Sus scrofa: one gene and its partner. Each later gene encodes a partner of the first gene's protein in a complex. Links are inferred from orthologs where the notes say so. Each region holds a gene or a part of one and is shown on either strand. Other genes may lie near its edges.

Region 1 (4,697 bases):
GGCTGCCTCCCCAAATCTGGGATGATTTGAGTTTGTAAATAATTAGCAGGAGAATTCCATTTCTGACCATAAAAGATTAACTGGTGCCAGATTTGCCCACCTACCAGACACAGCTAGAAAACTAGACATAGTATATAAGCAACTAGAAATGTATACAAAGAAATGATATCTCCACAAGGAGATTTTTTAAAAGAGTGCTCATAGCTTTATCTGTAAAATCGCCACAAACTGGAAACAACCCAAATGTACATCGGCTGGTAAATAATTGTGGTATATCTCTATAGTAGAACTCTGTTCAGGCATAATAAGAACGTAACTACTTATAAACACAACAAAATGGATGAATCTCAAAAAAAGAGTATGCTGAGCAAAAGAAGCCAGGCCCAAAAGACTAAATATTTTATAATTCTAATATAGAACATGCAATAGTTATATGTCATGTGAATTTCTAAAACAGACAAAACTAAATTTACAGTGATAGCATGTCAGTGACTGCCTGGAGTTCAGGGAACATTTTGAAATAATGTAAATATTGTATTTGTGGCATTAGGTTACCTGACTATTCGTTAGTCTAAACTCATAAAAGTATTAAAAAGTGCATATATTTTCTGGTATTAAATTATCTCGATAAAGACAACTTAAAAGCAAAAGGTAAAAACTTAAAAAAATAAATAGCAATGGGAGTTACCGTCATGGCGCAGTGGTTAACGAATCTAACTAGGAACCATGAGGTTGCGGATTCCATCCCTGCCCTTGCTCAGGGGGTTAACGATCCGGCGTTGCCGTGAGCTGTGGTGTAGGTTGCAGATGCGGCTTGGATCCCGCGTTGCTGTGGCTCTGGCGTAGGCCGGCGGCTACAGCTCTGATTCGACCCCTAGCCTGGGAACCTCCATATGCCACGGGAGCGGCCCAAGAAATAGCAAAAAAAAAAAGACAAATAAATAAATAAACAAATAAAATAGCAATATAGGATTAAAACATAAAATAGGAATCGATGAGTCCATAATGATAAAAATAAACAAATCGTTTAAATAAATAGAGAGGAGCAGAAGTTCTTTAGAGTTCAAAGCCAGCTAATAAATGTGGAGTGAATGATGGAGTAGAAGACTGCCATTTGGAATCATCACAGTAACAGTTTTTAGTCAAGAAACCTCAATGGGTACAACTTAATAACTACAAAGAGAAAATAATTTTTCAGGCAGGGAGAAACCTGCAAGATACCGCCCCTTAATCAAATAATGAGACAAAGAGTGATAAACGTAGCCTCACTTCTACGCACTATAGTTAAAAATGTATAATCTAAATCCAATCATGAAAAACACAGAGCAGACCCATTTTGAGGGAAATTCAACAAGGCCTATCCTGTAATCTTTAAGAGTTTCCAGTCCTGAAGGTCAAAGGAAATTGAGCCTGTTCCAGGCTGAAGGAAACTCAGACATAATAAGCCAATGCAACATGTTATCCTAGATTGATTCCTTTTACTGTTTGCCATAAAGGACATTCTTGATGCAGCTGGCAGAACGTGAGTGAGTGTAAAGAGCAGACAGCAGTAATGGATCACTGTTAATTTCCTGATTTTAATGGTCGTGCTGTGGTCATGTAGGAGTGTATTCTTGTTTGTAGGACATACACTGACGTGTTGAGGGCTAAATGGGCATCATGTTTATGATTTAATGAAATCTCAAAAGGGTTTGATGTAGTGCACATTTTGCTACTATAAGAATTCACTGGGAGGGAAGGGAAAGAGCAAGAATGTGATCAAAAAGAAGAGTAATAAGGTTTTGGAGATTATCACCTAGAGTGCTTTCAACCAAGAATATATGTATTTTAATCTATCCTTTACTTAACTGCATTTCCTACAGGCAAGAAAAGTATTGAATTAGAGAAAAAAAGGCTCTCTCAACCTAAGCCAAAGCCCAAAAAGAAGAAAAAGCCCACTTCAAGAGTGCCTACCAAGCAGGAATTCTGTGACAGGAATGAAGAAGAGAGCATAAAGGAGAGCTCAGGCCCTGTTGAGAACGGCGTGTCAGACCAGGAGACGGAGGAGGAAGTCCGGGAGCCAGAGCCACCCTGTGGTGACACCCCCACAGGTAGGTGGCAGAATCCCAAGTTTCACCAACTCTCTAGGACTTAAAGAGTCATGACCAAGAAACTAAGCCAGGTCCTTACTGGGAGTGAAACTTTTCTGCCTCTGAGCTACTTGCTTTCCCAACTCCTTAACTTAGTGTGTCTTTGGTGTCCTTAAAAACTAATTAAGGGTTTTTTTTAAGATTTATTTAAGCCTCTAAAATAATAACTTTGAAGTGTCAAAGGGGATATAATGGATGACTGCAATGGAAATAGTGAAGTTCTGCAGAGAAAACATATCACCTTGGGCAGGGTTAAACTGTGGGACAAAGTGAAGCTAGGGCAGTGTTCACGTAGAAACTTACGTGGGGAAAGTTTTAACAGTATGACATCATCAGCCACATTTATTGAAAGAAACCACTGTACCTGACCTAGAAACCACCACACTGGGAACTTGCAAGCAAGCAATATAAATAGGACTGACTCATGTTTAATTCTGAAACAAAATATTTTGATGTGTCAGAATTTTAAATGGCCAAAATCTAAGGGACAGGGACATCCCTGACTCTCTCTGTTCCCAGGGGTGGCTGTTAGGACCCAAAGTTTGGATAAATAAGGATGTAAAAGCTTAATAGATTTTGCTTTTGTTTCATTTTGTTTGTTTAAATTTACTGGAGTATAGTTGACTTACATTGTTGTGTTACTTTTAGGTGTAGAGCAAAGTGAATTGGCTATATATATATCTATCTCCATTTTTTTTTCCCATATGGGTTGTTACAAACTATTGAGTAGATTTCCCTGAGCTCTCCAGTAGGTTCCCGTTAACTACCTGTGCTCTACAGTAGTGTGTATATGTTACTTCCATCCTTCCAATTTCTCCCTCCTTCTCACAGTGTACCCTATGGTAACCATAAGATTGCTTTTGAAATCTGTGAGTCTCTGTTCTATACACACAAACTCCCTGCATCATTTTTTATTAGATTCCTCATATAAGTGATACCACATATTTGATTGACTTCTCTCAAAATGAGAATCTCTAGTTGCATCTATGTAGCCGCAAATGGCATTATTTCATTCTTTTTTATGGCTGAATAATATTCCATTGTATATATGTACCACATCTTTATCTACTTCTCTGTCAGTGGACATTTAGGTTGCTTAATGGATTTATTTTGTAGACCCATTAGAATACCTCTGTATCACAAAATGACTGCACAAAATGTCCTTTTACTCCTAACTATCAACAATTTGGTTGTTTTGTCAAGTTCTTTTATAGTTTGTGGTTGTATATACTCAGGATTATGACTCCATATCCCATACACTTTAGATTTCCATTGGTAAAGTTGTTCCTTGTTTGTGTAATTAAATATGCAATCAGTAATGTGTCACCTAAATATTTAAGTCTTCTGTCACCTAAGCTAAGTCTGAGAACTCTCGGGCCTATGGTATAAAGTTATGAAGGCTAGAATCATACAACTTTTCCTTAGATCAGTTAGTCAGAGTTCTAAGTAATAAAGTTGCAGATTCCCAGAATGTAGCTTGTGAGGTGGGGAAAGGAAGAAAACACCCATGTTTCCTTTCTGAAATATTTCATCTCATGTTTGGGGTAACAGACAAAAATCACACCTTAAAACCTGGGATAGCTCTTAATTTTCAAAAAGAACTGGATTCTATGTTGTTCTCATCCAGACATTTTTTCTTTTCCCTATGATGTAGTTTCTAAGGAACCAGTTACCTGCACTCCAGCTTCCTTAGGTTTAGAAAAGTCAAAAGTCACCATTAATAACAAAGTCGCTGTACTGAAAAAGGAGGCACCTAAAGAGAAGCCAGGTTAGTATCTAGTAATTAAAATTTCGTTAAAGCATCCTCAAATATTACATGTAACTGAAAACTCAAAAGTGTACAATTTTTGCTTTAGGTTTTAAATATTTGTGTTTTGATTATGTTTCGACTGGGGTCATTTTTTTGGTACTGAGGAACTCCTTTGGCAAATTACTGATGTAGCTTCACAACTGTTCACAGGAGTAGGTTTGTGTGTGTTGTGAACACTGCCCCCAGCTAATTCAATTTGAAAGCTTCTTTCTAAGAGTGGGAACTTTCTCTACCCTGCAGGATCCCTCCAGTAGGTTTACATTCACACAAAGGGCATGCTTTCAGTTTTGTGTTGTGATCAGCTCTTCTTCAGTCAGTACTTTTATTACATTTCAGAAGCCCTAATCATTAAGAAGCGAAAAGCTCGTTCCATGCTTCCACTGAGTACGAGTCTGGACCACAGATCCAAGGAAGAGCTTCATCAGGACTGTTTGGTACTAGCCACTGCAAAACACTCCAAAGGTACAAAAATACACTCCCCTGGCCCATCCATAGTCTTCTGGGACCTGGCACCGAAGAAGTGCTTGTTTATTTCTTGAATGAATGAATGAATGAATGAGCCATGTCCTAAACTGCTGTCTGTATTTCTGCAGTCTTTTCCAGCAATCTTTCCCCTTGTATCCCACTGCCAGGCTCCACACTCTGACCCACTGTCAACATTCCCCCATGCTTTTGAGACATAATGGTCTACTTTTCTGGTATAAACAAGTTACCAGCCATCTGTGTGCTGGAATTGGTATGATGGCTTCAGTATCTTA
Region 2 (4,697 bases), on another chromosome or scaffold:
AAATCAACTAAAATAAATACTTTTTAAAGAAGTTTTAGAAATTGTTCTGTTAAGGGAGCATTCTTGAGCTAAATGGTCCTGCTTTTTTTCCCCCTCTTCTGTTAGCCCCACTCATGGCAAGTTCCTGGGCCAGGGATCGAATCCCTAGCCACAGCAGCAACCCAAGCCAGATCTCCCTCCCTCTTTTGGCTGCACTGGCTGAATGTAAAAGTTCCTAAGCCAGGAACTCATGCCACAGCAGTGACCAGCACTGCTGCAGAGACAACACTGGATCCTTAACCCACTGTGCCACAAGAGAGCTCCTAATTGGTCCTGCTTTTTTTCAGTCTGACAATGTAGAATAAATATTTCTTATTTGATTGGACAGCCCTTTAAGTATGTGGAATATGTAATCATGTCTCCTTCCCTGGGATTCTCATCCTTTATTCTTGTAAGCATTCTTAGTGTCCCATATCAGCTCCTATCTTTATCACCCTCTTTTGAACACACTCTTGTTTGTCACTGTCCATAAAGTATGATTCAAACTATAGAGTTCCCATTGTGGCTCAGTGGGTCAAGAACCCAACACAGTGTCCGTAAGGATGCAGGTTCGATCCCTGGCCTCCTTCAGTGGGTTAAGGATCTGACATTGCTGCAAGCTGCCATTGTCACATTCGTGGCTCATATCCTGCATTGCTGTGACTGTGGTGTAGGCCTGTAGCTTCAGCTCCGATTTGACCCCTAGCCTGGGAACTTCCATATGCTGTAGATGCAGCCCTAAAAAAAATAAAATAAAAAAATAAGTAAATAATAAAGTACAATCCAAACTAAATGCTGGTGTGACCATCAAAGTCTGAGATCAGGGTGTCGGTACATTTCTCTTCAGGCCTCTCTCTTTGGTTTCAGATGGTCATCTTCTTGCTTTGTCCTCACATAGTCTCCTGTGTGCACACACATGTGTAATAGCTCTCTGTCCACATTTCCTCTTCTTATGGATGCAGGTCATTTTGGATTAGGACCTGCCCTAACTACCTCATTTTAACTTAATTGCTGCTATAAAGGCCCAGACTTCAAATAATCACATTCTGAGGTACTGCGGGTTAGGACTGCAGCACGTGATTTTTAGGACTACACAGTTCACTCTTTCGTAACAGGCAGTATATCTTTGTGTTGAGGTGGTGGGGATACAGAGGAATTCTCACTTATTTTTTTCACTGTTGAGTATTTTCTTTAAAAATTATATAGGAATAACTAAATTCTTCTTCTTTTTTCTTTGTTTTAGCCAAAATCTGAAGATGAAGAAGGCTGGAAAAAATTTTGTCTCGGTGAAAGGTTATGTGCTGAAGGAGTTACTGTTGGACCAGCTGCAAGTGAAAGTCCTGGAATTGATTATGTACAAGTAGGTGATAATGTGGCTACACAAAGAAAAATTATAATTTCAGTGCATGATTTCATGTAAAGACTCAGCAAACTGCAGTCTAGGCCAAATCCAATCTGCAACCTGTTCTTGTCCAGCTCATGAGCTAAACATAAAAACTTTATAGTTTTTACATTTTTAAAGGGTTGTTAAAAAAAATTAATAATAATGTGACTTAGACAGTATATGGTCTACAAAACCTAAAATATTTGCTGTCTGGCTCTTTACGGAAATTACTTGCCAATCCCTAACTTAGTTCATTGGCTCTTTGACTTAAAAATTGATAGCCTCATTTATAAAACAATGTACTGTGGCTCTTTTTAGGTTAGCTTCATATCTCTTATGGTTTAGCTTTTTAATAATTTTGTCAGATAGGATTCTTTTTTTAAAAAACCATTAGGCATGAGTCAAACAATGAGTTATAAGTAGTCAAGGAAACAAAGTTAGGTGCTTTAAAATGTTTATTCATAAATTCATATTCTGGAGATTAAATGTTGAGGGTATATTTTAATTTCACGTGACTTTATTTTATTTTTTTTGCTTTTTTTAGGGCTGCACCCGTGGCATACGGAGGTTCCCAGGCTATGGGTCTAATCAGAGCTACTGCTGCTGGCCTACACCACAGCCACAGCAATGCAGGATCCAAGCCACGTCTTCCACCCACACCACAGCTCATGGTAACGCTGGATCCTCAACCCACTGAGCGAGGCCAGGGATCAAACCCACAATCTCATGGTTCCTAGTTGGATTCTTTTCCACTTCACCACAATGGGAACTCCAATTTCACGTGACTTTTATTTTAATCATAAATTATGTAGCTATCTGCTTCTTGTCCTTTAGCATTCGCTTGCCTTCAGCATTCGCTTGCCTTCAAGTGTGCAGATGTTCCAAGGAAACTCACTGTATTCATCTGCATTACTAGTAACTCCTGAAACTATGTTGTTCTGTTGAATAGATATTTATCATTTTCTGTGTGGTGCCACATTGTGTTTTTCCTATTAAAATTAGTTTTAAAAAAATAAATAAATAAATAAAGTAAAATTAGTTTAGCCCCAAAATGTAAAGCTCCAAAAATCACTGAAAAACACCAAGAACCCAAATTAAAAAAAAAAAAAAAAAGGCAAAGAATATAAAGGACATCTCACAAGAAGGAAATACAGATTGTTCTTACATGAGAAGATGCCCAGACTCACTTATGATAGAAATTTAACTTATAATTGCACTGAGCTGGTATGACATATTGGTAAAGAAAATTTGATACACTGAGTCAACAAAGGCTAGGAAGACAGGCACTCTTACACATGGTAGTGGGAGTGTAGACAGATTCAAATCTCTAAGGGAGCTAATTTGACACTGTTTCTTAGACAACTTATGTTCTTTGGGATAATATCCATAATATATTTTAATTTGACACAGAATTAAAATATATATAGTTCGTTATTACCAAATACATACAGGTGAGGGAGTTCCCATTTGGAGCATTGGAAACAAATCTGACTAGTACCCATGAGGATGCAGGTTCGGTTTCTGGCCTTGCTCAGTGGGTCCATGGTCCGGCGTTGCCACGACCTGTGGTGTAAGTTGCAGACATGGTTCAGATCCCGCGTTGCTGTGGCTGTGGTGTAGGCCGGCAGCTATATCTTCGATTCAACCCCTAGCCTAGAAGGCTTCCATATGCCACGGGTGCACCCCTAAAAAGAAAAGAAAACAAAACAAAACCCAAAATACATACAAGTAAAGCATATCATGTGAAAGAACAATTTAAGAACATAAAAGTTTAATGCATGTCCTCAAGTTTCGCACCAAGTCAGGACTGTTTTCATAATCCAGGCTTCCCGCATTAAATTCCAAAGCACTTTCTTAAATTGAAGCAGACTAGGTTTGAAAAAACTCATTCAAGTGCCTTTAATTCCTGAAAATAATAACTTTAGCTGAAGATTTTGAAAAAGTGTATACAACATATTAATGTCATAGTATCATTTTTTTCAGTTTCACGTTTTAACATCTTAATTACTAAAATCGTTCTTTGGTTTTAATTTACGTGTTCAAATGTTAAGACATTATTTTCTTGGGCATTACCAACATAATAGCTCATGGAATATTTTATTGTAATGGACAGTGGAGAAATTTTTCTTTTATCTAGTCTTTGTTCTTTAATAACAGTGTGTTGAGAAATTCACCAGTTTGGAAAAAAAAAAAAAAAAATGAAGCCCCCTCCTTGTAATACTATTTAGTAAATTTCAATTTAATTTTTCTTTCAGATTGGTTTTCCTCCCTTGCTTAGCATTGTTAGCAGAATGAATCAGGTAAAGTCTGTCTGATAATAAGAATGTTAAGTGTTCTTTTGTTTGCAATGTGTGTTAAAATATTTAAATAATTTGCTGAATATTTACAGTATGTAAGACCCAGTTCTAGACTTTGTAACAGTTCTTATTTAATCCTCACTACAACCCTTTATGGGGGATTATTATTAATACCTATTTTTTTGTAGCTGAGGAAACAGAATTAAAGTCACTTGGTGGTTTTTCAGTGAATTTTAATGGTGACATTGGGACTCAGCCCCAGGTTGATCTGATGTTAGAACTCATGCTCTTGATCATGGTGCTAAACTATTCACATATATACATTTTAGTTATAAGTCTTAGATTCTGGGGTTTGAAATAAATACTGAGATCAAAAAGGTGTTTCTAGTTCTGGATGACCTACGCATTTCACTAAGAATGAAATTTGAATTTCTTGGATCAAAAGGGGAGAAATAATGGACTTCAGTCCTTCAGTCTTTCAGGAACTGTTACCTATTTAAAGAGCAAATAAAAACTTTTGATTGTTTTGCATTCACATAGCATAGAGTACCAATGTAGATAAATTTTTTTTAAGAGTCATACTCTGTTGTAAATCTGGAGTTCCTGCTGTGGCACAGCAGGATCCAGGGTGTCTGTGTAGCGTCAGGACACAGGTTTGATCCCTGGCCCAGCACAGTGGGTTAAAGGACCCCGAGTTGCCACAGCTGCAGTGAGGGTTGCAACTGTAGCTTGGATCTGATTCCTGTCCCAGGAACTCCATATGCCCTGGGGTGACCCAAAAAAAAAAAAGCATCATACTCTGTTGTAAATCAAAAACTGGCTGACAGTTTTACTCACATATCACTTACATTAAGATTAAGATACTATAGGGAAGTTCCTGTTGTGGTGCAGCGGAAACAAATCCAACTGGTATCCATGAGGTTGTGGGTTCAATCCCTGGCCTTGCTCTGTGGGTCAGGGATCCAGCACTGCCATGAGCTATGGTATAGATCGCAGAA

What was found. Proteins that work in one complex are often made in the same cells at the same time.
Region 2: GEMIN5 (region 1) and GEMIN2 share a complex: the UniProt entries of both Homo sapiens proteins name them as parts of the SMN-Sm complex. The link is inferred for Sus scrofa from reciprocal best matches to the Homo sapiens genes GEMIN5 and GEMIN2.

Annotation. Positions count from the first base shown.
Region 1 is NC_010458.4:68,306,005-68,310,701, forward strand, and holds part of GEMIN5 (gem-associated protein 5), read left to right. Parts: intron 1-1,862; coding exon 1,863-2,090; intron 2,091-3,783; coding exon 3,784-3,897; intron 3,898-4,275; coding exon 4,276-4,401; intron 4,402-4,697. UniProt on the Homo sapiens protein: The SMN complex catalyzes the assembly of small nuclear ribonucleoproteins (snRNPs), the building blocks of the spliceosome, and thereby plays an important role in the splicing of cellular pre-mRNAs.
Region 2 is NC_010443.5:169,682,129-169,686,825, forward strand, and holds part of GEMIN2 (gem-associated protein 2), read left to right. Parts: intron 1-1,261; coding exon 1,262-1,378; intron 1,379-3,657; coding exon 3,658-3,702; intron 3,703-4,697. UniProt on the Homo sapiens protein: The SMN complex catalyzes the assembly of small nuclear ribonucleoproteins (snRNPs), the building blocks of the spliceosome, and thereby plays an important role in the splicing of cellular pre-mRNAs.